Sus scrofa: one gene and its partners. The protein of the gene in region 2 purifies or fractionates together with the protein of the main gene of each other region. This does not show direct contact. Links are inferred from orthologs where the notes say so. Each region holds a gene or a part of one and is shown on either strand. Other genes may lie near its edges. The genes, in order: TFAP4, BTRC, NUDC, NFKBIB, USP47, NUAK1 and GLI1.

Region 1 (4,148 bases), on a different chromosome or scaffold from region 2:
ATCTGAGACAGCAGAGGGCTCCAGATGGCATGGCGCAGAAATGGGGAGGCCAGTTTGAGTGACAGTGTGCTCAGGCTGGGTCAAGGCAGTTCTGTAGGAGAAGAAAGAGCAGGGGCCAGGCAGACTTGTCCCAGCTCTCATCATTCATTCACTCAGGCACTGTGGACAGTGATCAGGGCATACAGTTGGGTGGCTCTGTATCCTATGTTGTCCCCACATGCCATCCTTCCTGTCCACACAGGGAAGCCCCCCGGGGACTGTGGTGTTACATGGTCCAGGATCTGTACTTACAGAAACAGCCCAGCAGCTGACTTTGAAGGATTGGAAACTATACCCGTAAAAGGGCTAGGCATCTGCAAGATACTCGGAATATCTAAGAACAATAACGGTTCCTACTAAAACCAGAAATCCTTGTCTTGAGTAGGAGTATTTCAATTAGAAGGCGCGATTTGGGCGGAACCTGGAAGGCGAATAGGTTTGAGGAAGGCGGTGGGCAGGAGGGAGGACATTCCAAGGCAGGCGCGGTCTTCCTGAGCCAGGGGCCAACCTCCAGGAGCCTGGGGAGGGGACGCAGGAAGGAGGGGGGGGCGGAAGCCAGCCGCCACGGTGTTCCCCACCCCCAGGCCTTCACCCCTAGTAGAGAGCGCACCCTGGCGGAGGAGCAGGTCCCGCACGGGCTTCGCCACGAATGGGAAGCTGCAGCCTTCCGCCTACCGCGGCCAAGCTGGGGCGAGGCTCGGGCCGTCCAGCCTCCCCGCAGAGGGGTGAGAGGTGGAGACCCCGCAGCAGCCACCGGACCTCCCGGCCGCGCTGGCAGCCTGCCTCCGGGGCCGCTGCCGTCCTGGCCCGCCTCCCTTCCCTCCCCGCCAGGGCCCCTGCTTCCTAAGGCAGCCCCAGGATCCCAGGCGCCCGGCGCGCCCCCCTTTGCCCTCCCTTCCTTGGCTCCGGGATTCCCAAGCTCCGGAGCCCAGGCCAGACGGCCAGCAGCGGGCAGCTGGGCAGGGAGGGAGTGAGGGAGGGGGCTGGCCGGCCTCTGAAGTCGGCCCCAAGTTACATGTGGGAAGCGGTAGCTGTGACGCAAGTTTCCAGGGGGCCCTGGGCTCGGAGGGAGCGCGCCAGAGCGGCTCCTCTCCGTGCAGTTGCAACCGTGAAAAAAGCCCAGAGCAGCACCGCAGGCCACCTTCGCCTTTGCCGGGCCCAGCTGCGAGCCCCCGCACCCCGAGGGCGGCCAAGCGCGCAGGGTCTGCACCCGGCGGTCCCCGCCGGACCCCAGGCGTACAGGCTGGGCTCCCTCGCAGTGGCTGGTCTTTTTTTTTTTTTTTTTTTTTTTTTTTTTGCTACGCTTGCCAACCTGTCAGCTGATGGACCTCATCACCCATAGTGGCGCATGTAGCTCGGCCGCAGCTCGCTCCATTCACGCTGCGTCCCCCAGGAGGACCGGCGGCCCCCGCACCCCCAGCTGGGGGGTAAGGCCCTCAGACCCCGACCGCCACTCGGCCCTGGGGGCCAGCGCCCCTCTTGCCCCAGCCTCGCGCCGCCCTGGGGGCGCTGCAAATAGTCCTTTGTTTACATGCAATTCCTTACTCCGCGGAAGGAGGCCGGGGGAGTGCTGAGTTTTCACCAGCTGTTTCCCGCCTTGAAACAGACATCTGATCAGCTGCAAACACACACACACACACACACACACACACACACGCACATACACACGCCCGGGGAGGCAGGCCGGAGAGACCTCCCTCCCGCCCCTCCCGCCCGCCTCCCTCCCCTCGCCGCCGCCGCAGCCAGCATCTGGGACCGGCCGATTCTGCACCTCCGTCCGGCGCTGCCCTTTGATTCGGATTTCCATCTTGCATTCTCCGGCGGACCGCGGGACCTGGCTCGTGCAGAGGAGGGGGGCCGATCGCTATGGAGTATTTCATGGTGCCCACTCAGAAGGTGCCCTCTTTGCAACATTTCAGGAAAACAGAGAAAGAAGTGATAGGAGGGCTCTGTAGGTGTGTACTCCTCCTCCCCCTCACCCTCTTCCTATGATTGCAGCCCCTGGCCAGCCCGCTCCGGCGGGCGCGCGTGTGCGCACGCATGGCCCGCGCCGCGGACCCTCTCGCCTTTCTTAGCCGCCGGGGCGGCTGCAGTCCCGCGCGCCGGGCTCGGGCCTCCCAGGGACCCTCCTCTCTCGGAACGTGGGGGCCCCGAACGGCCCCGGTCACTTTTGTCCGCTGCAGGCGGGCGAGTCGCGACGTTTGTAAATTGCAAACAGACCCACGTGGTTCTGCAGCAGTCCCGGCCATGCTTGGTGCTGGTGGCTTTCCCCCCCGCGCTTCCTCCTCCCCCCTCCCGCGGTGGCTTCCTTCCTCTCCCTCCTTCATCACTCTCTCTGGGCGCCCCCCTCCAAGGGGTTCTGGGGGGGGCCTGGGGCGCGCGTGGGGCCGCGGCGCTGGCGGCTACAATGCAGCCACGCCGCGGCTCTGGGCGCGGGGGGGCGGGGAGCCGGTGGTGTGAGTGTTTGCAGGGAGCTGGGCTGCAGCGGGGTCTGGGGGCGTGCTGGAGTTCGAGGGTGTGAGGGGGGTGCGGAACCCGAGGGGCCGGCGCCGCCCGCCGGGAGCGCTGTGGACCCTGGCACGTTGGCGGCCGCCAGCTCGCTCGCCGCCCGCGCCCGGGCGCTGTTTACTAGCGAGGCCTGGACGTGACTCTGCAGCCCTCTTGGAGTAGGCGGACCTCCGCGCGCCGCCAGGCGGGAGCTGTAGTTCTGGGCTCCGCGTCCCTACGGCATTGTGGGAGTTGTAGGCGCGCCAGGGCCACGCTTTCCCCGCACAAAGCTTGGACCCCGCGGGCGGGCTGTTGGAGGCAGGTCCGGTCGGGGGGCTCTCCGGAGAGGGGGCAGCAGAGTCCGCTTTTAGCCTCACCAAGCCGCTGCCTGCAGCACGTGGGTCCCCACTGCAAACTTTCCTGTCTCACGCCCCTCCCCCAGCCATAAACCGAAAGCATCTGGTTGCCCAGCCCGCTACCCAGTTGGGTGGGTGGTCCGAGGTCCGTCGCCCTCCTCAGGAGCCACCTTCTAAGTTTTGCCCGGGATCCTCTGGATCTCCCCTTCCCCGGAGAGTGATGGGTTAGCGGACACTTGTTAAAATTCACATGCCCGCAATTCCGATCTCTAGAAGGGCCCGAACATCTGCAGGTTGAACACAACCGGCAGGATGGCGGCGCTGCATGGGGGTGTTCTCTGCGTGTCCAACTTTGGGACCTGTGGCCCCCTTTCCTGCTCTAGTAGCGAAATGGCTCCCCAGGGCTGGAGCCACGTGCTCTGCCGCCCCGGGGCGGGCAAGGCGGGGATTGAGAGAGGAGGAGCTCAGGGCGGTGTGGCCCAGGCTGGTGGACACCAGGGCCCGTCAAAACCTGTCTGCGGGAAGGTTGCTGCACACCGCCGCCCCCGTCCCAGGGCTCCCACCTTAACTACGCTCAGCAGAGGGGCTCTGAGTGTTGGCCCTTCTCCAAGGTCCAGCTGGAGAGCTTAGCTGTAATAAGGGAAAAGAAGAAAAAATTCGGGAGCTATTAATATGCTGTAGAGACTCCTTTGGGGAGATTTTTCTGAGTCCTTAGCATCTTCCCCCGAGTGAAGTGGCTTTATGGCTTCCTGTGCGGGATGAGGACACAGGTCTGGAAAGGAAGAGATAAGGCAGGTGCTGGGGCTGGAACTTGAACCTTGGTCCCAGAGCTGCTGGTTGCTCAGAGGAGGGTTGGCCAATGAGGAGATGGGTTGAGCTGCCTCAAATGCTGCAGAGGACATGCGGAGACTGATCCCAGGCAGGCTTGGCACCAGAGGACCATAGGCTGCCTGGTCTGGGCCTTGGCCGTGTCCTCCCTGGGCCCCCTAGAACTCTGGCTTGGCTCTGTTTCTGTTCCATGCCCCCCTTGGAGGAGTCCAGCAGACCCATAGGGGTCTCCAGAGTTGGGCCTGCCCAGCTGTGAGATTGTTGTCAGCCCATGCGTTGGGTGTGGGGCTGGGGCCTCTGGGTTTGTTCATTTTCTGGGAGCTGCTGGGTGAGGTAGGAAGCTTGTCACGGATCGGGTGTGAGTTGGGTGGGACCTTCTGGCCGGATATACTGGCTTCTCAGGCAGGTGGACTTTGCTCCATCCCTCGGTGACCAGCA
Region 2 (3,500 bases):
TACATAAACAAAGACTAGAAAATGTGATCTTTGTGGCAGAGGCATTCCTGCTGCCCATGATGCTGGCTCCAACTGACACTGGCACAGCTTTACTCAGTGGAAAAAAGGCTGTGGGGCATGTTCCTAGTTCAAAGATGGTAGTATCATCACTAACAAAATTTTCAAAGATAAGGCCAATTACAGAGATCTTATTAGACCAGTAGGTGAATTCTGACCATAAGCATTCCATTTGTCTATTGACATAATGTTTCCGAAGACCTGACACTCTGATGTTCCGCATTGGAAATCATCATGTTTTATCCAAAAACAAATCATTTGAGCCCAGAGAGTTCCTCCTGATGTGGGACTCCTGACATCAAGCTTAACTTCATACCTCTCTGGAGATTATAACTACAGATTATATGGAATGGTAACTGTGAAAACACTTTAAAGAAATATGAAGTTCCTTGTAAATGTATAATATGATTTTTATTGGGAAATATTTGTTTTTTAGGGGACAGTATTTATTCAAAAACAAACCTCCTGATGGGAATGCTCCTCCCAACTCTTTTTATAGAGCACTTTATCCTAAAATTATACAAGACATTGAGGTAAGAATATATGTATATTTGGGCATTTGCCAAATACTAGAGAATCATCAACATTCTTCAGTAACAGCAGTGTTATAGCAAACCCATTAAGGTTTATTGATGTGGGTTAAAAATCAGTTTCTTCACAAGTGAATAGGGAAGATAAAATATAGTAAATTGCCAAGCAAAATTTTAAAGCTTTTAAGTTATTCACTGATAAATACATGAAAGAGAGTATGATAATAGCTTTAAAACTGTTGAAGTTGCACTTATAAGCTGTCATTCAAATATCTTCTGAATTGAGCCTCTGTGGAAGCTCACTGGTAGAAATGGCTACCACAAATGTAAGATGAGCACTGAGCAGGTAACCTCATATGAGTCATAGCAAGTGGCAAAATATTTTACAACTTTAAATAGTGGCTTTTTAAAAATATCTTTAGGGAGTTCTCTTGCGGTGCAGCAGGTTAAGGATCTGGTGTTGTCATTGCAGTGGCTTGGGTCACTGCTGTGGCTCAGGTTCGATCCCTAGCCCAGGAACTGCCACATGCCGTGGGCATGGCCAAAGATTTTTAAAAATAAGAAAGTTTTTACATTTTTAGTATGTGTTAAGTTCTGTGTATCCAGTAGAGTAGAGCACTGAGCATTTGTCATAGGTTGCCATGAAATTCAGATGAGAGTTTAGTTCCCTAAAACTAATTACAGCTTCTTTACCCATTCCTTCCTCTCAGACGATAGAATCTAATTGGCGATGTGGAAGACATAGCTTACAGAGAATCCACTGCCGAAGTGAAACGAGCAAAGGAGTCTACTGTTTACAGTATGATGATCAGAAGATAGTAAGTGGCCTTCGAGACAACACAATCAAGGTGAGGTCTCTTCAGTTATGGGAAGGTGGCTGAAGGGGTGAGGGGGACTACAATCCCTAAAGCAATCCAAAGCATAAACTCTAAGCAGTATTTCCAGAAAGTAAGTGAGAGTCCCAAAGCCAAAAATCGTTTCCTTTAAGGAAAAGTACCTGCTTACCCACAGAAACACATGCAAATGGGTAGTGCTAAGGTTAAATTCTCTTCTTGAAGTGCCCTGAATGGGCTATTAGTCTTTTGGCCCTCACATAATTATAGGCTACCCCTGTTTCCTTAATGAAAAGGATCAAGTCTGCATTAGTACTGAAGCCACATATATATAGGTGCTTCGCTATACCTATAGAGAAGAATGCATTCCACACTACTCTGGGCTTTGATTCTTTTGGGGACTCAAACACAAAATAGAGCCAGCAAGTCTCTGCAGCACCCCATTATCATAGTGATCAAAAGGATCTTGTTTGCCATCCTAGATCTGGGATAAAAGCACATTGGAATGCAAGCGAATTCTCACAGGCCACACAGGTTCTGTCCTGTGTCTCCAGTATGATGAGAGGGTGATCATAACTGGATCGTCGGATTCCACAGTCAGGTAGAAAATTTCAATAATCTTTAGAACTCTGAAATGTCAGGTGTACTCTATTCTGTCTTAGTAATTTTGTATATATGTGCATGAACATAGTTCGAAAACTTTATAACTAAAGAATAAACCATCAGCTCCCTCCATAGTTGTGTTAATCTAGAACTAGAAAACTTGATTTAGGAATGGTTATGATAAGTTTACATTTCTGCACATTTAAGAAACTATATATTCTGTTTTAATTTGGGGGAATCATCTCTTATAGAAACGTGGTAAACCTTGCATTTCTTACAAAAACCACCTCACAGGGGAATGACATGAGTGGAATGGAGCCTTCCTTTCAGGTGGTTATAGCTATAGTGCAGGCACGCATTATCTCCTTTAAAATGTGTACAGGTGAGCAGTACTCTCTCTTTGCCAGCCCCTCCCCTGCTGTCCCTGCAGTTTTTAATTGCAGGCTTCACTCAGGGAGGGGGCTTCAATTTCCAGAGGCATTAGTAATTTGATGACACAGCCATTATGCTGCTGGAGTCCAGTGTAGCTTGAGTTCTGGGTACCAGCAGCACTGCTGGAAACCTCTGTTAGGAATTTTGCCTTGAGCTAAAGGGTTTAGCAAACATAATGCATCAAAAGTAACTTTAAAAAAATAGAAAAAAAAAAAAAAAGCAGTTAACTGCATTGTTAGATTCTCTGAAGTTAAAAGTTTACCTTCCAAGTTATCCTCTGTAAATAGAAAAGGCCATTTCTTTTTCTTGTCTTTTGACTTAAAGGCATAGCAGACTCAGTTCTTAGAGTTATCAACATTTAACATTTATTGATGCTTATGGAGTGCCTCAAGGAAGCTGAAAGTTAATAGAAGCTAACATCATTTCTAGGATAAGGGAAAAAATGATTTCCTGAAAGAGGGGGTTAAACTGGAAAAAGAAATAAAATGTGTTAGTAAAACCAAAGTAAACGTACAGAAGTAGAGTGGTCAAAGCAAAATATATCCTCACACAGCAGTCTCAAGCTATTCAAGGGTCCTGCCCTCTGCTGCGAAACCTATATATATATTGGGGTGGCCATTCTTGATACCTACCCTCATTTAAGACACAGAAATGGGGCCTTAGATTTAGGGTCTAGGTAATCTTAGGCCTTGACCTGTGTGGTAAAAACCAAGATCCAGAGTCGTCAAGCTCAGATCCATAGTACTGAGTCATCTGTTAGAGAAGTTTCTTGGCCTCTATCTGTTCTAAGACCTGAGGGCTGCCTCTTGGGACCACCAGTGCTGCAGTTATTAATTAAATATATCAGATTGTGGAGTTCCCTCATGGCCTATTGGTTAAGGATTCGGCATTGTCATTGCTGTGGCTCAGATTCGATCCCTGGCCTGGGAACTTCTTCATGCCATGGGTGCAGGCAAAAATACATATATGCGTGTATTTCTTAAATTTTAAATTTTTCTAACAGATTGAGTGTCAGAAGCTTTATAGTCATCTCGAAGTCTGGGGC
Region 3 (4,006 bases), on a different chromosome or scaffold from region 2:
AAGTTTTGCTGTCAAAGAGATTTTAAAATTGGGATAGGAGTTCCCATCGAAGCTCAGTGCTTAACGAATCTGACTAGGAACCATGAGGTTGCGGGTTCGATCCCTGGCCTTGCTCAGTGGGTTAAGGATCCGGTGTTGCAGTGAGCTGTGGCGTGGGTCGCAGATGCAGCTTGGATCTTGCGATGCTGTAGCTCTGGCGTAGGACGGTGGCTATAGCTCTGATTGGACTCCATGTGCCGCAGGAACGGCTCAAGAAAAGGCAAAAAGACAAAAAATAAAATAAAATAAAAAATAAAAAAATAAAATTGGAATGGTAGGAGGAGAAAAGTTTGTGTGGGGGGGTCATAGAAGAATAAAAAAAGAAGTGGCATTAAAGTATATTTGTAAGTTAAAAGGGATGATCCAGAAGAAAGAAAATTGTGATGCAGATTCATTGAGTAGGGAAAAAAAAAAATTCTGATGCAGGAGAATTAGGAAAGGATAGTAAGAGTAGAATCCCTGAAAAGACTAAGATGATGAAATTCAATACAAAAGTAGAGGGTTTGGCCTTAGATGGCTGGGGTCTGTCCCGCACAAAAGTGAAGTTCGAATTTAGCACTCATTACATAATTTGCATGAAACTGCGCAAAATGACAATGCGGGGTTGGGGGTGGGGCTCTTGTTAAAAAATATTAAGAGTCTCAGGACTGCAGCAGAAGAGCATTAACCCCAGCACCAAGGGACTTTCTAAGTCCGGGTCCCCTGCGACTGCACAATTTGTATGGAGTATGTGATGACAACAGGGGTAGGCTGTCTTTTGGGGCAAGTTCCCTTCTCCTTTCTGGGCCTCAGTTGGCCGATGGAAAACTTGGAAGAGATGATTAAGAACGCTTTACCGTTCTACAAGCTCAGCGGTCACTCTCAAGGCGTAAATTCAAAGTTTGTGCTTTTTCAACTTTCAGGCCCGCGTGATTTGAGCCCAGGGTTTTCTGGAAGGCTCCAAAAGGTTCCTGGTGACCATAGCAACTCACACCAAACTCAGAGGCCTTCGACTCCGCCCACCGCTCACGGACGCGCTCTTTGATTGGCTCAGCAAGTCGACCAATGGTCAGTGAAGCGGGCTGCTTGCCGCACGGTCAATGGCCGCTGGCCACAAGGGAGGCGGGAGGAGAGAGCAGGCGGGCGGGCCAAGGCAGCGGGGCGCGTGCGTGTTTCCGTCTCCGCTGCGGAAGGCGGAGGACTGAAACCGTTGCACCGGACGCGACCCGAAGGCGCCGAGAGCGCGGGACGCGAGAGCAGAGCTCAGATTTCGGAGCGTGGCTAGCAGCTGGCAAGATGGGTGGAGACCAGGAGGAGGATCGTTTCGACGGCATGTTGTTGGCGATGGCGCAGCAGCACGAGGGAGGCGTGCAGGAGGTAACGACCCGCTCGGCATTGGCTTGGCCTGGCCCACCCAGGCGGCCCAGCCACTCTCTTTCCTCCCTTCGCTGCCTTCGAGAGACGAGATCCACCCCTGGGCCTTGCGGGCTTTAGGATCCCGCATTCTCATTGCACCCCAGCTTCTAGTCTGGCCTCCCCGCCGCAAGTCTTGCGCTCGGACCAGTTCTGGATCCCTGGGGCCCCTCAGTAGTTACCATCTTAACAGCTCTGGCATCCCTTTATCTGCCCCTGGGAAGGCCCGAGTCTTGGAATCCCTTCCCCCTCTTTAGTCTCCAACCTGCTTCCGGCCCTTTTCCCCTCTGGTGGCCGCCCCCAAAGAACATCCTTTAGGATGTTCTAGGCATTGAGATTTGCATGTACCAAGACTTGGGGCGAGCGGAAGAATGTATGCGATGTGTGGGGGTGGGGGGGGTGATATTAACACGTGGTCTTTCTAGATCTTGAATGAGAGAATAGGAGGCGTGTTTTGCATTTCCTAACAACTTGGACTGTTTCATGTCTCCAAGCTTCAGTTTCTTTCTTTGAGACAGAGCTACGAATCCTTACTTCCTGAATTTGTAGGAGAGTAGTGTCTTGAAGTGAAGGACAGTGAAGAATTCTCGGTAATCAGACTCGAACATTCAACAAGTGTTTGTTGAGTAATTGATGTGTGCAAGAACATAATTCATGCTTAGTGACCAAACCCAATAACATGTGTAGGAAAAGGATAAGGACCAACTAGTAAAGATTCTGGAGTTGGTTTTTTGGACGATGGAAAGTTAAACGTAGCAAAACCTATCAAGATTAGTCTTTCTTTAAAGAAACTGAAGGAGCTTGCCCAAGCTCATCCAACAGGCTCCTGGCTTAGAGGGGACCAGAATCCTTAGGCCAGTGTGTGCTTTCCACAGTCCATTGTTGATTCTGTGTCTCATTGGAGCCTTCCATTCCCATTCTCATTCAGGTCCCTGTGGGAAGAGTGCTACTAATTTGCAGATGTGAAAGTCTCCCTTCTCCTACCCCCCTAAATTGTTGTTGCACCTGGATTTGGAAGTGAGTTCATTTTTGAGTGAATTGAAAAAGTGTCCAGAAGCAGGAATTGAAACTGTTGAGATAAATTCTAGCGTCAGATTTAGAACCTCTCACTTGGGCAAATAAAAGGGCTTATTTATATGTGCCAACCCTCAGTCATCACTAGATCTTTTTGCTCAGCAAAAGTTTTCTGAGCATGCACTCTGAGCCAGGTCTGGTGCCAGGCCTTGGGGATGTACACAGAGTCATGGTTCATGGTGCCTACTTGTGAGGAGCTCTCTCTGTGGCCGAGGTTCTTTAGCCAGACGCTATTAAGGACCTCACCTGCATGTCTTCCTTTGGTCCTCTCAAGGATCCTCACGTGTATCCCTAGAAATTGGTCCTGCTGCTATTTCTGTTTCATAGAGTTAAGACACTGTCCCCAGGTCACAGAGCTAATGTATATCAATCTAATGGCCAAAACGATGCTCTTTTTTTTTTTCCTTTTTAGGGCCACACCCATGGCATATGGAAGTTCACAGGCTAGGGTTTGAATCAGAGCTGCAGCTGCCAGCCTATGCCACAGTCATAGCAACGCCAGATCCAAGCCATGTCTGTGACCTGCACCACAGCCCACTGCAACGCTCGATCTTTACCCCACTGAGCAAGGCCAGGGATCGAACCCATGTCCTCATGAATATTAGTTGCGTTCATAAGCACTGAGCCACAACGGGAACTCCCAAACCGACGCACTTAACAACTTGACTGCACTGATGCACCCAGCCAGAGTTAGCTGGTTTTGGAGTTCCCTGGTGGCCTGGTGGTTATGGATCCAGTGTTGTCCATGCTGTGGCTTGATTTTGATCCCTGGCCCCAGGAGCTTCTGTAGCTAACCTCCCTCCTCCCCTCAAAGAAAAAAACACCAGAGTTAGTGGGTCTTAACCTTCTTTGAAGTGGCCTTCTTTGTTCTCTCCTTCCAGCTCTGCCCTAGTAACTCAGCCAGCGCCACTCTGGATGGGCTTTTTGCTACATGGAGAGGAAAGCTAGGCCCCAGGCATTTCAAACCTGGATGCAGTGCCCCATATCCTCAGGCTGCTTCTAGCATCACAAAAAATGTGAAATACACATATGCATATACACAAGAAATGAGAATTCTCCCTTTCTGTTGCTCTAGATCAGGTTAGGTTAGGCTTCCTGGCAGAAGTAACTAAGGCAGGGCTGTTGGGGGGGATGTTTTCCCAGTTGGGAGGCTCAGGGTTGAAATGGTCCAGTCCCAAGTTCCTTCCTAGGTGAAGGAGGTTGCTTGTGTGTGGTTAAGGGGCTCCCTGTATGGCACCTCTACAGCTTCAGTCTTTTGCCTTCTGTCTTTCAGCTTGTGAACACTTTCTTCAGCTTCCTTCGTCGCAAAACAGACTTTTTTGTTGGAGGAGAAGAGGGGATGGCAGAGAAGGTGAGTGTTGGCGAGCTTACCTGGCCTTCCTTTGGCATAATAATAACCTTTCGCAGAAGTTAACACGCCAAGGGCAAGAGTTGGGGAAGGAAAGCATTTACTGTCATTTATTGAAGTCCCTTTCCTTGCCAAGTGCTTTATCTACCCTGC
Region 4 (4,164 bases), on a different chromosome or scaffold from region 2:
GGCAGGGAGCTCAGGGCCCTGGGGTTCCCATCTCCCCTCTGCCACCTCCCTCCCAGGATGGGGTGTGGGAAGTCCATCTCTCTCCTTCCCGCCACCCTTCCGCCCCATCTCACCTGAGCCTCTTGCACCTTCCCTGTCTGGGTCTCCACAGGGTCTGAGGCTGGGGGGAGGAGGGGGAGCAGACGTGGTTAAGGTGAAGGGAGTGGTTAAGGGGGAAGGAAGGGCTTCAAATTAGTGGGGCAGAGGGATCAAGAAAACTCACCAACCTGGTCATACCGGGTGGGGTGGGGGTGTAAAATGGAAGTGGAGGAGGGCGGCAATGGGGAAAAGCGGACCTTATCAGTGTGCAGACGGCTGGGAGGAGAGGTTAGCGAGGGACAAAGAGGCCGGGACAGGAAGGTTTAGGCGAGGGAAGAGAAAGTAAAGCACGCCCGGCATGGAGGAAGACTTAGGAGGAGTTAGGAAGGGTGTAGTAGTGTGAGAGTGTGTGTCATTAGGTTTACAAGCAGTGGGAAGCCATAGAAAGGAGAGAAGACATACTCTGCCTGTTGGCAGGTTTGGGAGAAGAGGTGCAGAGTGTGTGTGTGTGTGTGGTGTGTGTGTGTGTGTGTGTCGGGCAGGGTGGGGTTGGTTTCGGAGAAAAAGGAAGCAATAGGAGGGGACCCTGGCATCCTACAGTTGCTACTAACAACCAGGTACCCTTAGCAACCAGGACCGCGGCATCTTAAGTCCCTAGCAACGAGGGTCCTTGGCAACTAAGGTGCGAGAAACATGTGATCATTAGTAACTTGGGGGAAGTGGCAAACGGACCCTTAAAACCTAGCGACCCAGAAAGCCACCAATCTAGCAATATGGATCACTTGGCAACTGCCCCCGGAATCCCATTTTCCCCCCCATGCAACCCCCATCTCCTGCCCCACCAAGCCTGCCCTCGGGCCCCGGGGCCTACGACCCTCAGCTAGGCCCCGGTGCAGCCCTGCCCTCCCACCGGGGTCCCCGACTCACGATCCGGCTCGGCCATGGGCGCGGGGCGGGGGCCCTCGGGACTGTCACCGACTGCTCTGTCCCGTGACGGCACCGGAAACAGGAGGGGGCCGAGACAAGGCAGAGAACTACAACTCCCAGCAGCCATCGCGATCGCATATAATGCTCTGCACCGCGTACGGAGCGCGCCCCCACGCAAAGGCCGGACTACGAGTCCCAGAGGGCTCCACGTCCACAGCCATGCTGGTAAAGGACTCCGGGAAAGTGTGGGAAAAGGTAGAACGCCGTAGTCCACCTGAGTGCTCTGATTGGTCATCATGTGGCATGGGGGCGGGGCGTGTACTACTTAGCCCACCCTGATTGGATGAGTCAGGGGGGCGTGTTGGGGAATTCCCCGCAGGGCGGAAGCTCGAGAATTCCAGGCAGAGCCCAGCGACAGGCGGGCTGCCGCTGGGGGCCCCTGAGGCTTCGGGGGCCATGGCTGGGGTTGCGTGCTTGGGGAAAGCTGCGGACACCGATGAATGGTGCGACAGCGGCTTGGGCTCTCTGGGTCCGGACGCAGCGGCCCCCGGAGGACCAGGCCTAGGCGCGGAGCTGGGTCCGGGACTATCGTGGGCGCCCCTCGTCTTCGGCTACGTCACTGAGGATGGCGACACGTGAGTGAACCTTAGACTGACAAATCGGGCCCCAGGGTCCCACATCTCCAATCCTGACTTCCCAACCTTTCAATCCTAAATCTGTCTTTTGATGCTTGACTTCCTGACCCCAAGACTGGCCTCTGATAAAACCAACTTCTTATCTAATTTTGATCCTAACCCAATAATGTCTGGCCTTCCTTTCTTGAACTGATTCTCAGAGTTATGCGTTCATTGATCAGACCCACATTCAGTGATCGATTCCACATCCAAAACTCGATTTGACCTTCCTGACCCCAGTCCTTAGCCCTCTGTTAGAACTGTAGTTCAGACAGGCTCCTCCTGACCTTTATCCTCCAAATATGATCTTTGGTCCTCAGCGCCTAACTTACATGAGCCTTAGATTTTATTTCGAAATTAATACTTGGCTTTTGACTCCAGGATCCCACCTTCTGAACTCTGATCTTCAAAGCTTACATTCAAAGAGAAAATGGAAACTACATAACAGCAGGAATTCATCTATTAAACAAATAATCCAACACCTTCGACTTTCCAGGAACTGTTTTAGGTGTGGCCTAAAGGCAGGGAGGAAAGCCCAAAAAACATTTGTCTTGTGGAGCATACATTCTAGTGGGGGTATATAGACAGAAGGGCAGATAGACTGACAGGGAGGGAGGAAGGGTAGGAGGAAGAAAAAGGAAAGAAAAGGAGAGAGAAGGAAAGAGAAAAAAAGATACACAGACCTAAAGTAAGAAAGGGAGAGAAAGAAGAAAGGCAGGAAGAAACGAAGACAAAAATTAAAAAAAAAAAGAAAAATAGCATGTCAGACGTTAAGAAGTTCTTTGGAGAAAAATAAAGCAGGGAAGTGAGACAAGTAGATTATCTGGGGAGAACATTGCACATAGAGGGAAAAACAGTTGTAAAGGCCCAATTGAGGGAATGTACCTGGGGTTTTTGAGTATCGTGTTTACCGCTGTATCCCCAGTGACCCAGCAGCCCCTGACCCATAGGAGGCACTCAGGAAACAGTGATCTTCTCAAACAACCAGCTGTGGTTTCATTTATTTTCTCTTTTTCTCTCTTTTTGCTTTCTATTTTGTTGATCTCTGTTCTGACTTATTTACTTTCTTCTCTTATTTGGGGTTTAATTTCTTCTTTTTCTCGTTTTTTAAGATGGAAGCTGAGGTCATTGATTTGAGACTCTTTTTTTTTTTTTTTTTTACGCATATAAGTGATTCATGCTGTAAATTTCCCGGAGTAGTGCTTTAGCAGTATCTCACCAATTCTGATGTGCTGTGTCGTTTTTTGTCATTTTGTTTTGTTTTGCTTTTAAGGCCTACCTGCGACATACGGAAGTTCCCAGGCTGGGGTCAAATCGAAGATGCAGCTGCCGGCCTACACCGCAGCCACCGCAATGTGGGATCTGAGCCCTATGTGCGACTTAGACCACAGCTTATGGCAGTGCCAGATCTTTAACCCAGTGATCCGGGCCAGGGATTGACCACATCCTCATGGATACTGGTTGTGTTCGTTAACCACTGAGTCACAACAGGAATTCCATGATGTGTAGTGTTTTTATTTAATGCAATATACTTTCTAATTTCTTTTTTGATTTCTTCTTTGGTCATCGGATTCTTCAGAAGTATGTTATTCAGTTTCCATATCACAGGCATCTTTCTTTCATTGGCTTTTAGTTTAATTCTGTTGGGGATGGAGAGCCTAGCATGACTTGAATCCTTTCAGACTTTTTGAGACTTGTTTTAGGGCCAAGAATATAATGTGTGCATTTGAAAGAATGTGTATTCTGCTCTGGTTGGGTGTAGTGTTCTCCGAGTGTCAGTGTTTCCCTGGTTCTTTTGTTGCTCAAGTCTAGATTTCTACTTGTTCTGTCAATTATTGAGAGCCGGGTATTGAAATCTTCAACAATAATTGTGGATTCGTGGCTTTCCTTGTTGTGCTATCAGATTTTGCTTTGTGTAATTTGATGCTCTATTATTAGGGGCACAAATATTTAGGATTATTAAGTCCTCTTGTTTCACTGACCTCTTTGTCGTTATGAAATAACCTTCTCTAGCCCTGGTAATGCTTCTTGCTCTGAAATCTACTCTGATATTAAAATACTTACTTCTGTTTTCTTTTGAATGACTGGTGTTACCATGGAATATCTTTTTATACCCTTTAATTTTAACCTATTTTAAAATTTATATTTCAAGAGTGTTACAGGCAGCATATAGTGGGTTTTGCTTTTTTTTTTTTTTTTTTGGCTGTGCCTGTGGAAGTTCCCGAGCCAGCAACTCAACTCGAGCCACAGCAGTGTGGCACAATGACAGTGCTGGATCCTGAATCTGCTGCACCACAAGAGAACTCGAGGTTTACTTTTTTATTCATTCTGACAGTTTCTGTCTTTTAATTGCAGTGTTTAGACTGTTTGCATTTAACTTAATTATTGAAATGGTTATGTTTATCTTGTTTTTAGCTTTTTTGCTTATCTCTTTTACCTTTTTCCTCTTTTTCTGCCTTTTAGAATGAGCAAATTTTGTTCCATT
Region 5 (3,500 bases), on a different chromosome or scaffold from region 2:
TTTTTCTTTTTTGGGTGCCCCACAGCATTTGGAGTTCCCAGGCCAGGGATCAGATCTGAGCTGTAGTTTTGACCTACACTGCAGCTACAGCAATGCCGGATCCTTAACCCTCTGTGCCAGGTCGGGGATCAAATCTGTGTCCCAGGGCTTCAGAGATACCACTGATCCCTGGCCTGGCATGTTGATCTTTTTATTTCATCTTTTGATATCATTATGTGTTCCATCACTTATCATTTTTCTGTTTTTGTTCCTAATGCCATTGGTTTACTCTGAATAAATTGCATCAAAATTTCCTTGTTTGCCATTTTTTATTTATCGCCATTTCCAGTCTCATTCATCTTAGTGCAGTTTGGTCTTTTATCACCTTTAACCATTTTTTAGTGTTGTTTTCTTAATTCTAATGTGTAATTTTTATTCACCTCTAGTTTCTTCTAATACTTTTGTGTGGTGTTTGTGTGTATAAGATTAAAATCCTCTAATCTCCCTAATACTGTTTTAGGGTAAAGAATGGGAATGCTACAACTTTTTTCTTTAAATAGTTAACTAACTCCTGAGTTATAACATTTATTGAATAATAATCTTGCTATAAAAAATTCAAAATACTCTTCATAATTGCAATATTTGTGTATACACATTTCATTTTTTAAAAAGACTTTATTATGGAAAATGTCAGACTTATACAAAAATACAGAGAATAGTGTAATGAGTATGTACTATCACCCAGCTTCTGTAACTATCAAGTCATTTCATGTATATTTAACCACTGCTTCCCCCAGATTTTTTGAAAGACATTCCCAGTATCATGTCATTTCATCTATAAACAGTCTGAATGTATATTTTCAAAAGATAAGAACTTTTAAAAAACATAACCAATTACATTAATACACCTAAAAAATTAACAAAAATGCCTCATTATCAAGATATCAACCAGTATCTTGGTGTTCAGATTTCCCTGATTATATTAAAATTTTTTTCCAATAAGATTTGTTTGTTCAAATCAGGATCCAAACAATGTCCATAATATCTCTCAAGTCCGTTTTATTTTATTATTATTTCTCTTTGGCTGCGTTCACGGCATGCGGAAATTCCCAAGCCAGGCATTGAAACTGAACCCCAAGCAGTGACAATGCCAGATCCTTAACTGCTAGGCCACCAGGGAACTCCTCTCCAGTCTATTTTAATGTGAAGATTCCACTATGTGTTTTTTTTTGTCTATTTGTAATTTATTTGCTATAGAATCAAGTCGTTTGTCCATTACATTATTATATATAATCTGGATTTTGGTGTCGCATTCCTGAGATGTTTTTGCACATATTCCAATAAATAAGATGTCTGCACGCACTTGTGTGTTGGGGGCGGGGGGACACGGCATCTGTCTTAGAACAATTTTTTGACTAATTACAAAGATATGTAAATATAATATTTATTTTGTTTAGCCTCCAGAAACAATGGATGTGTCCTTTAGAAACATCATCTCAAGTTATCTAGCTTATTGTGCACTGTCTTATATTGATGTGTTATTATTCCTATGATGTATTGAGAATGTCACCTAATTTAATGAAGTTAATTCTCTGACTTACAATTTAGGTGTTTGTTGAAAGTTCTGAGACTGTGGATCACCAGATGGCCTTTACAGACTCTCATTTATGGAAACTCCTGGATCGACATGCAAATACAATCAGATTATTTGTTTTGTTACCTGAACAATCCCCAGGATCTTATTCCAAAAGGACAGCATACCAGAAAGCTGGGGGTGATTCTGGCAATGTGGATGATGACTGTGAAAGAGTCAAAGGACCTGCCGGGAGCCTAAAGTCTGTGGAAGCTATTCTAGAAGAAAGCACTGAAAAACTAAAAAGTTTGTCGCTGCAGCAGCAGCAGGAGGGAGATAATGGGGACAGCAGCAAAAGTACTGAGACTAGTGACTTTGAAAACATTGAATCACCTCTCAATGAGAGGGACTCTTCCGCATCCGTGGATAATAGAGAACTTGAACAGCATATTCCAACTTCTGATCCTGAAAATTTTCAATCTGAAGAACGATCAGACTCAGATGTCAATAATGACAGGAGTACAAGTTCAGTGGACAGTGATATTCTTAGCTCCAGTCATAGCAGTGATACTTTGTGCAATGCAGATAATGCCCAAATCCCTTTGGCAAATGGACTTGACTCTCATAGCATCACAAGTAGTAGGAGAACTAAAGCAAATGAAGGGAAAAAGGAGACATGGGATACAGCAGAAGAAGACTCTGGAACGGACAGTGAATATGATGAGAGTGGCAAGAGTAGGGGAGAAATACAGTACATGTATTTCAAAGCAGAGCCCTATGCTGCAGATGAAGGTTCTGGGGAAGGACATAAATGTATGTACTTCATAAGAAGAAGGCTCCTTGAAACAGCCTCGGGTTTTTGTTTTTGTTTTTTTTTAATCAGTTTATTTAAATTTTTAGTTAAAAATCAGCTAAGAGTCAGATACTTTGTCCTACAACTACCTATAACTTCCTGGATTATAGGATTATCTTCTGTTGCCTTTGCTTTCATTTTTGTTGCATTTGATAGTGAATGGTGTTCTTAGACCTGTACATTAGACTTATATACAGGTCTAATGATGTCAGAACTCCAATGAAATGATTTTAAAAAGGGGGGAGAGAAAATTAAGAATTTTTTTAAAGAAGGAAAGAATTATGATAACAGTGCTTAAAAAAAAAGCTAGACATTTTAGAAAATTTTACGTTCAGTACCCAGAAAAAATTTTTATTTTTGCAGCTCTTCCCCTTTTTCTATCACCTAAAGCAGACAGCACCCTTCCCACTCCCCCTAAAAGGGCCATAGCTAACCAGGAAAGTCGGAGAAAGGAAAGGATCTTTTTTTTTCCTTCAAGTTTTCTTAAAGGAAGCTTCAGGCAAGATATAAACCAGAAATTAGCAGGGCAACCAGGTTCAAGATTCAAAATCTTTCTTCTAGTATTAAAAAATAGCTGAAAACCTAGATACCTTGCATTAGTCTGGAAGGCAAATATAAATATTATCCCTTATATTTTTATATTTTAGCTTTCAAAACAGTTGTTTGTTCTCCCTTTAAGTTTCTCTGAAATTAATAAAGTAAACATTGATATCCTCACTTGACTGGTAGGAAAACTAATGAGTGACTTGCCCAAATATACATATATAGCTAGTAAGTGGTGGAATCATTACAAGAGGCTTCTAATTGAATGCACTTGCTTCCCATTACTTTTAGAGGAGAGTCCTACTCTTCATCTATCTCTTTATCCAACTATTGTTATTTCCTAAATCCATGCTAGGTGCCAGGCCCTCAGAGATGACTGAAATTGTAGCCTTATGCTTCATCTCATGGGGAGAAAGTACACAAACAACCACTATAATAGTTAAATGCTATATGATGCCTGTAATCTCAAAATTGGGTCTTTTAAAAGGAAGTGATAGAAATTATGAAATCAGTAGTAAAAACACATAAATTTGTCCGTGGTTAACATAAATT
Region 6 (3,500 bases), on a different chromosome or scaffold from region 2:
AGTCAGCAGAGGACCAAGCATGAAAGAGGGGAGATGGTTGGGAAAGGGGTGGCCGGGGATGGGAGACAGGTGGACAGGATCGGGGTCTGTTTTTAGAGGTAGGACCAGCAGGACTTAGCGATGGAAGCTGTTTAGTAAACTCTTTGGCACATTGAACTGTGTTGAACTGAACCGTGTTTCTATCTCCTTGAGCCAGGAAAGGGACAAGTCTGCTCACTGAAACAGTCCTTTCGTCTGCATGAAGCCAGTGACCCACACCTTCTGATGGTCACTGAGGGGACCAGTGGCTTTGGCCTTCTTTAAGGGCACATCCGACTCTTTGGGGGTGTGAGGCTCTTTGTTTATTTCCCTCTCAAAGTACTTTCTGTCCTGCTGCACCCCCCACCCCGCAACCATTTTTAAAATTAGAAAACCCGCTGCCCTCTCCAGGGCCTATCACTCGTTCATTTTTAGAGCCTGAGCCATGCATCCTGAGGCAGGCTTTCCAGTTTCCAAAGCTGATTGTTAATGAAGAGTGCACAACAGGCTGAGATCCCTGGCAGGAGCCAAAGCTGCAGGGTACACCAAGGCCAGCAGACGCGGGAGCAGCCAATTTTATCTGGCTGTTCTCTCTCCTCCTCCTCCCTGCCCTCCTCCTTCTCCCTCCGTTTTATCAGAGAGGTTTGGCTGGACTTGAAGGAGCCAGAAAGAAACTGGAGGGGCCTGAGCTGCTAGCAGCCAGGGACGAGGTGCGGGAGGACAGGGGATGCTGGCTGGGGGCACAGTCCAGTTCATTGAGGGTGTCTGTGCATCTGGTCAGTGCTGGGCCCTCTGGAGTCCAAGAGTATTGATACCAACAGTAATAACATTATTGAGTGTGTGCCATGAGGGCAGGCCTTGTTCTGAGCACTTAACATACCTGATGTCAATAAATCCTCCCAACAATCTGGGAAATACTGATGTAATACCAAAGGCACAGAGAGGGCAAGCAACTCCCCCAGAGTCACACAGCAAGTAAGAGGCAGATCCAGGCATCTACTTAGGAATGCCTGATTCTAAAATGACAGTTTTTACTTTTCCAAGTCTAGGCTCAGAGTCCAGGCAGGGGAAATAAATATGTAATCAGCAAGTATATCCATGCAGTTTCAAAGTGCTGTGAGGTAAGTATCCATTAGCGCAGTGAGAGGTGGAAGGGAAGCAAGGCGGATGCCATATTTGAGTTCATTCTTATGTTTTTTTTTTTTTAATAGTTTTTTTTTTCCTTTTTATAACCACACCTGCAGACACCATATTTGAGTTCATTCGTGTGTTCTCTTTATTTTTTATTTATTTATTTATTTTTGTCTTTTTGCTATATCTTGGGCCGTGCCCGCAGCATATGGAGGCTCCCAGGCTAGGGGTCCAATCGGAGCTGTAGCCACCGGCCCAGGCCAGAGCCACAGCACTGCAGGATCTGAGCCTAGTCTGCAACCTACACCACAGCTCACGGCAATGCCAGATCGTTAACCCACTGAGCAAGGGCAGGGACCGAACCCGAAACCTCATGGTTCCTAGTCGGATTTTTAACCACTGCGCCATGACGGGAACTCCTGTTCCCTTTTTTTAAAATAGTTTTTTTTTTTTTTTCTTTTTTTCTTTTTGCAGCCACTCCTTTGGCATATGGAAGTTCCCGGACTAAGGGTTTCATCAGAGTTTGTGCAACACTGGATCCTTCACCTGCTGAGCAAGGCCAGGGATCAAACCTGTAACTTCAGGGACACTGTATCAGGTTCTTAACCTGCTGAGCCACAGTAGGAACTCCTTGAGTTCATTCTTGACAGATGAGTTGGTATTGCCCTGGCAGGTAGGATAGGTAGGAGTAAAGGCAGAAGGAAGAGCATGGAGGTGCGAACAGCAGTATGTGTGTGTGTGGGTGTGTGAGAGAGAGAGAGAGAGAGAGAGAGAGAGAAATAACAACTTGACATCAGATTGTGAACAATCTGGCTCAATTGTGAACAGATCTGGTATTGGTGGGCGGAGGGGGCCTGATAGGGAGTGGTAGAAGCCAGTGAGATGGAGGAGGTAGGCAGGGGTCCTACAGGGAACGGGAGGGTCTTGGGTACCCTACAAAGGTTTTTACACCATATCCCTTGGAAGTGATAGATTTCAATATGATGATTATTTTATCTTCGCTCAAAGGGCATCTTGTGTGAAACCCCCAACTGTGAAACAGATAGCATTGGAGGGGCTTTGGCTGCAGTGGAGCTGAGGACCTAGACTCTGTTCATGGTCTCCCAACCTGCCCCCTTGGGCATCTGCCTGGAGCTCCTAGGACTCAGGAGAGCAGCGTTTGAACATCAGTGTTAGAGAATATCAGCGTTGGGGAGAGAGACGCATTTAGTGCTTTGATTATTTACAGTGATAGTCCAGAATGCATTTAAGATGCTGTGAGTTCCCCCATTTAATAATATTAATTGACACCTTTTGCCAATGGGCATTGAGTGCTGGGGTACATCAGCCAATGAAAGAGATCAATCCTTGGAGTTCCCATGTGGCTCAGCAGGTTAAGAATCTGATTAATATCCATGAGGATACAGGTTCAATCCCGAGCCTCCCTCAGTGGGCTAAGGATTCAGCATTGCCGTGAGCTTCAACATAGGCTGTGGTTGTGGGGTAGGCCGGCAGCGGAGGCTCTGATTTGACCCCTACCGTGGGAACTTCCATATGACGCAGGTGTGACCCTAAAAAGAAAAAAAAGAGACAGCTCAATCCTCATTACATTCTAGTGGGGGAGACCAAAGAAATACACAGAATAGATGCATCAAAGGGCTCAAAAGGGTCTGGTGGCTGCATTTGGGACTTTGGGTTTTATTTTGAGTGGGATGGAAAGTCTGGAAGCTTTTGAATAGAGGCAACAAGTTCAGCCATTCATTTCAGGGTCTGGGTAGCTGGTCCATATCAAACGGTTACTCCCCATGATCTCATCCACAGGGGAGCCGATCCGATGGGAAGGGCTTGGGAGGAAGGAACCTGGTAAAGGGAGCAGGGTCCTCAGAAGAAGGCACGCTTCCCAGTCAGGTGACAGAGACAGCGATGATGTCACGGTCCACCTGCTTGGGAAGCTTGCTCATCCCCTCGTGGCGTTGATGGCCTGACTTGTTTGCCCCGTCCGGTGACATCTCCCTCGTCCCCTCTCACAGTCTCTGTATCATAAGTGAGCTGGTCGGGTAAACAGGCTGTCTGTGTATTGCCATTCCCCCGCAGTGTTCGAGAACAAAGATAAGATTGTGATCATCATGGAGTACGCCAGCAAAGGGGAGCTGTACGATTACATCAGCGAGCGGCGCCGGCTCAGCGAGCGGGAGACCAGGCACTTCTTCCGGCAGATCGTCTCCGCCGTGCACTATTGTCACAAGGTATGGCCCAGCCCTGCGCTGCGCTGGCCACAGGTTGTTAGGGAACCACGTGACTCTTTCATATTATAAAGGTGACATCTGGAGTTCCCTGGTGGCCTATTGCTTAAGGACCTGGCATTGTCACTG
Region 7 (3,500 bases), on a different chromosome or scaffold from region 2:
CCCTAGACACTGTGCCTGCAGCTCTGCCTAATGGAGAGGTCCTGCCTAATGGGGACACGCTCTTCCAGGATGACCCCATCTTAAAACCAGCTGGGCTCACCAGGTGGGCAGATATGCTTTGGCTTGACCAGGAGCTGCTTACTGCCTCATCTCCATGTCCCTGCAGACAGAGCGCCTCCAGCTACTTCCGTTCTCCCAGCTCTCACCTGCCCTTGTTCCCGAATTTTGGGAATCCTGAAGCCCCAGTCCTCTCTCCTCTTGAGTTATATTCTGATAGATGTCCCTTTTGAGATTCAGGGTTCCACTAATGTCCATGTCCTTCTGTCTGAGAGTGATATTTTGACCGCCCCCCCATTTCCCCCAGTTTGAGGGGTGCCGGAAATCATACTCACGCCTGGAAAATCTGAAGACACACCTGCGGTCACACACGGGTGAGAAGCCATACATGTGTGAGCATGAGGGCTGCAGTAAAGCCTTCAGCAACGCCAGTGACCGAGCCAAGCACCAGAATCGGACCCACTCCAATGAGGTGAATGCCCCACCCAAGAGACCCTTCCCACTTAAAGAAGCCACCTACTGGGAGAATCCCCCATAAGAAATCCCTTAGCCCAGCACCCACTCCATTGAGGTGAGTTCCTCCCCACCCATACAATTCACCTGGAGGTCTCTCTGAAACCAAGAATTTCCACTTGCCACCCTTCCCCCTACCCTCAAGCAGCTAAAGACCCATTCTAACAAAGGAGACCCTGGTGCCTTCAACACCTGAGTTTATGAGGCCTCACAGACCTGGGTTCACCCCCTCATCTTGCCCAGGCCTGGGCTGTCAGTTTTTCATAATCTTCCCCTTGATCTTCTCGTCTTTTACTGCAGGGCCCTACTCTTCCTTAGGTGCTATGCGTTCCTCCCTGACTCCCCTCGACCTCACTTAACGCCAACCCTTTTTCCCATTTCTTCTGCAATCTCCTGCTTTGATCTTTTTGCCCGCTGTCTTCACTCTCCACGCAACAGAAGCCGTATGTGTGTAAGCTCCCTGGCTGCACCAAACGCTACACAGATCCCAGCTCGCTCCGGAAACATGTCAAGACAGTGCACGGTCCTGATGCCCACGTGACCAAGCGGCACCGAGGAGATGGCCCCCTGCCTCGGGCCTCGGCTCTTTCCACGGTGGAGCCTAAGAGGGAGCGGGATGGAGGCCCCGTCAGGGAGGAGAGCAGACTGACTGTGCCAGAGGGTGCCATGGTGAGGCGGCCCCCTGCCTCCGACCCCCTGCCTGCCTTGCCGACATCTTTCTAGACCCCATCTAACTGGTCCACCCCCTCCAACGTAAATCTCTTCTGTGGCCAGACCCCTAGTCTCTTATCTGAGTGTTGCTCCTTGGGGTACCTTAAACCTAGGGGATGAATTATTTAATTGGTTCAACGAACTTTTATTTATTTTTTAAACAGGTAATTTTTTTTTTTTTTGGTCTTTTTGTCTTTTTGCCATTTCTTGGGCCACTCCCATGGCATATGGAGGTTCCCAGGCTAGGGGTCGAATCAGAGCTGTAGCTGCCGGCCTACACCAGAGCCACAGCAACACGGGATCCGAGCTACGTCTGTGACCTACACCACAGCTCATGGCAACCCTGGATCCTTAACCCACTGAGCAAGGCCAGGGATCGAACTCGAAACCTCATGGTTCTTAGTCGGATTCCTTAACCACTGCGCCACGACGGAAACTCCTCAACAAACTTTTATATGAAACTTAGTATGTTATTCTAGACCTTGTACCTATATAATTTCACATACTCTTCACAACAACTTCGTGAGAAAGGAACTTACTCTCCCCACTTGCAGATGAGGAAACTCAGGCATAGAGAAACTGTCTAAGGTCATAAGCAGTCACTGGGACACAGGCTGTAGCCACTCACCAAGTTCAGGGAGCTATGGGGAAGGGAGGTAGGTGCCAGCCTTAGCCCTCATCTTCCCCACAGAAGCCACAGCCGAGTCCTGGAGCCCAGTCCTCCTGCAGCAGTGACCACTCCCCAGCAGGCAGCGCGGCCAATACAGACAGCGGTGTGGAAATGACTGGAAATGCAGGAGGCAGCACTGAGGACCTGTCCAGCTTGGACGAGGGACCTTGTATTGCTGGCACTGGTCTGTCTACTCTTCGCCGCCTTGAGAATCTCAGGCTGGACCAACTACATCAGTTCCGGCCAGTGGGGCCCCGGGGCCTCAAACTGCCCAGCTTGACCCACACTGGTAAGAGCTGGCTGTGAGGGGTGGTTGCTGAGCTGAGATTTGGACCTTCCCTGGGGTTGGAAAGAGGACTTCACCCTTCAGGGCTGCTATCTAGCACCTTTGTACAATTAGAAAAAGGTCCCCTTTCTGTAAGATAATTTCCTTCCATCTATTAGAAAATTGTTGTGATATACAAAATCTATAGTGTGAATGCTGTCCCCTAGGATTGTGCAGTGTACAACCTGTAGGACTGTTCATAGCAGTTCTGAATTCCCAGTGATCCAAGAGCGGAAAGGGAATGGGAGGAGACAGAACCTAATGCTTAGAGTTAAGGAGCCTTCCCTGGGATTCCAGGACAAGGCTGTCCTGTGGGAGAGGCAGGGTGAAGTTCAGAGGGCTCCTTAGCCACCCTGCCTTTTCTACCTCTCACTGCAGGCACTCCCGTGTCCCGCCGGCTGGGCCCCCCAGTTTCTCTTGACCGCCGCAGCAGCAGCTCCAGCAGTGTCAGCTCAGCCTATACTGTCAGTCGCCGCTCCTCCTTGGCCTCTCCTTTCCCCCCTGGCTCCCCACCAGAGAATGGGGCATCCTCTCTGCCTGGCCTCACGCCTGCCCAGCACTACCTGCTCCGGGCAAGATATGCTTCAGCCAGGGGAGGTGGTACCCCACCCACAGCAGCACCCAGCCTGGATCGGATGGGGGGTCTCCCTGCACCTCCCTGGAGAAGCCGAGCCGAGTATCCAGGATACAACCCCAACGTAGGGGTCACCCGGAGGGCCAGTGACCCAGCCCGGGCTGCTGACCGCCCTGCCCCAGCTAGAGTCCAGCGGTTCAAGAGCTTGGGTTGTGTCCACACATCCCCTACAGTGGCAGGAGGAGGACAGAACTTCGATCCCCATCTCCCAACCTCTGTCTACTCACCACAGCCCCCCAGCATCACTGAGAATGTCACCATGGATACCAGAGGGCTACGGGAGAAGCCAGAGGTTGGGACCTCCATGATGGGCAGTGGTCTGAACCCTTATATGGATTTCCCACCTGCTGATACTCTGGGATACGGGGGACCTGAGGGGGCAGCAACTGAGCCTTACGGAGTTAGAGGCCCGGGCTCCCTGCCTCTTGGGCCTGGTCCACCCACCAACTATGGCCCCAACCCTTGCCCTCAGCAGGTCGCCTATCCTGAACCCACCCCAGAAACATGGGGTGAATTCCCTTCCCACTCTGGACTGTACCCAGGCCCCAAGGCGCCTGCTGGAACCTACAGCCAGTGTCCTCGTCTTGAAC

What was found.
Region 1: the proteins of BTRC (region 2) and TFAP4 purify together in Homo sapiens (affinity purification with mass spectrometry; 4 studies listed by BioGRID and IntAct, counting the BioPlex papers as one, with this or other methods). This does not show direct contact. The link is inferred for Sus scrofa from reciprocal best matches to the Homo sapiens genes BTRC and TFAP4.
Region 3: the proteins of BTRC (region 2) and NUDC purify together in Homo sapiens (affinity purification with mass spectrometry; 3 studies listed by BioGRID and IntAct, counting the BioPlex papers as one, with this or other methods). This does not show direct contact. The link is inferred for Sus scrofa from reciprocal best matches to the Homo sapiens genes BTRC and NUDC.
Region 4: the proteins of BTRC (region 2) and NFKBIB purify together in Homo sapiens (affinity purification with western blotting; 4 studies listed by BioGRID and IntAct, with this or other methods). This does not show direct contact. The link is inferred for Sus scrofa from reciprocal best matches to the Homo sapiens genes BTRC and NFKBIB.
Region 5: the proteins of BTRC (region 2) and USP47 purify together in Homo sapiens (affinity purification with mass spectrometry; 5 studies listed by BioGRID and IntAct, counting the BioPlex papers as one, with this or other methods). This does not show direct contact. The link is inferred for Sus scrofa from reciprocal best matches to the Homo sapiens genes BTRC and USP47.
Region 6: the proteins of BTRC (region 2) and NUAK1 purify together in Homo sapiens (affinity purification with mass spectrometry; 3 studies listed by BioGRID and IntAct, counting the BioPlex papers as one, with this or other methods). This does not show direct contact. The link is inferred for Sus scrofa from reciprocal best matches to the Homo sapiens genes BTRC and NUAK1.
Region 7: the proteins of BTRC (region 2) and GLI1 purify together in Homo sapiens (affinity purification with western blotting; 3 studies listed by BioGRID). This does not show direct contact. The link is inferred for Sus scrofa from reciprocal best matches to the Homo sapiens genes BTRC and GLI1.

Annotation. Positions count from the first base shown.
Region 1 is NC_010445.4:38,046,348-38,050,495, forward strand, and holds the start of TFAP4 (transcription factor AP-4), read left to right. Parts: upstream 1-1,348; 5' UTR 1,349-1,570; coding exon 1,571-1,935; coding exon of another isoform or gene 1,936-1,994; intron 1,995-2,504; exon of another isoform or gene 2,505-4,148.
Region 2 is NC_010456.5:112,562,764-112,566,263, forward strand, and holds part of BTRC (F-box/WD repeat-containing protein 1A), read left to right. Parts: intron 1-493; coding exon 494-590; intron 591-1,297; coding exon 1,298-1,435; intron 1,436-1,902; coding exon 1,903-2,021; intron 2,022-3,500. UniProt on the Homo sapiens protein: Substrate recognition component of a SCF (SKP1-CUL1-F-box protein) E3 ubiquitin-protein ligase complex which mediates the ubiquitination and subsequent proteasomal degradation of target proteins. Recognizes and binds to phosphorylated target proteins.
Region 3 is NC_010448.4:84,237,489-84,241,494, forward strand, and holds the start of NUDC (nuclear migration protein nudC), read left to right. Parts: upstream 1-1,206; 5' UTR 1,207-1,314; coding exon 1,315-1,395; intron 1,396-3,778; coding exon 3,779-3,856; intron 3,857-4,006. UniProt on the Homo sapiens protein: Plays a role in neurogenesis and neuronal migration. Necessary for correct formation of mitotic spindles and chromosome separation during mitosis. Necessary for cytokinesis and cell proliferation.
Region 4 is NC_010448.4:47,702,280-47,706,443, forward strand, and holds the start of NFKBIB (NF-kappa-B inhibitor beta), read left to right. Parts: upstream 1-1,364; 5' UTR 1,365-1,461; coding exon 1,462-1,640; intron 1,641-4,164. Other genes in the region: SIRT2 (NAD-dependent protein deacetylase sirtuin-2), read right to left, coding at 114-160, 1,006-1,021. UniProt on the Homo sapiens protein: Inhibits NF-kappa-B by complexing with and trapping it in the cytoplasm.
Region 5 is NC_010444.4:47,465,394-47,468,893, reverse strand, and holds part of USP47 (ubiquitin carboxyl-terminal hydrolase 47), read left to right. Parts: intron 1-1,587; coding exon 1,588-2,365; intron 2,366-3,500. UniProt on the Homo sapiens protein: Ubiquitin-specific protease that specifically deubiquitinates monoubiquitinated DNA polymerase beta (POLB), stabilizing POLB thereby playing a role in base-excision repair (BER). Acts as a regulator of cell growth and genome integrity.
Region 6 is NC_010447.5:14,150,478-14,153,977, forward strand, and holds part of NUAK1 (NUAK family SNF1-like kinase 1), read left to right. Parts: intron 1-3,222; coding exon 3,223-3,374; intron 3,375-3,500. UniProt on the Homo sapiens protein: Serine/threonine-protein kinase involved in various processes such as cell adhesion, regulation of cell ploidy and senescence, cell proliferation and tumor progression. Phosphorylates ATM, CASP6, LATS1, PPP1R12A and p53/TP53.
Region 7 is NC_010447.5:22,742,825-22,746,324, forward strand, and holds part of GLI1 (zinc finger protein GLI1), read left to right. Parts: intron 1-364; coding exon 365-529; intron 530-1,008; coding exon 1,009-1,239; intron 1,240-1,972; coding exon 1,973-2,240; intron 2,241-2,654; coding exon 2,655-3,500. UniProt on the Homo sapiens protein: Acts as a transcriptional activator. Binds to the DNA consensus sequence 5'-GACCACCCA-3'. Regulates the transcription of specific genes during normal development.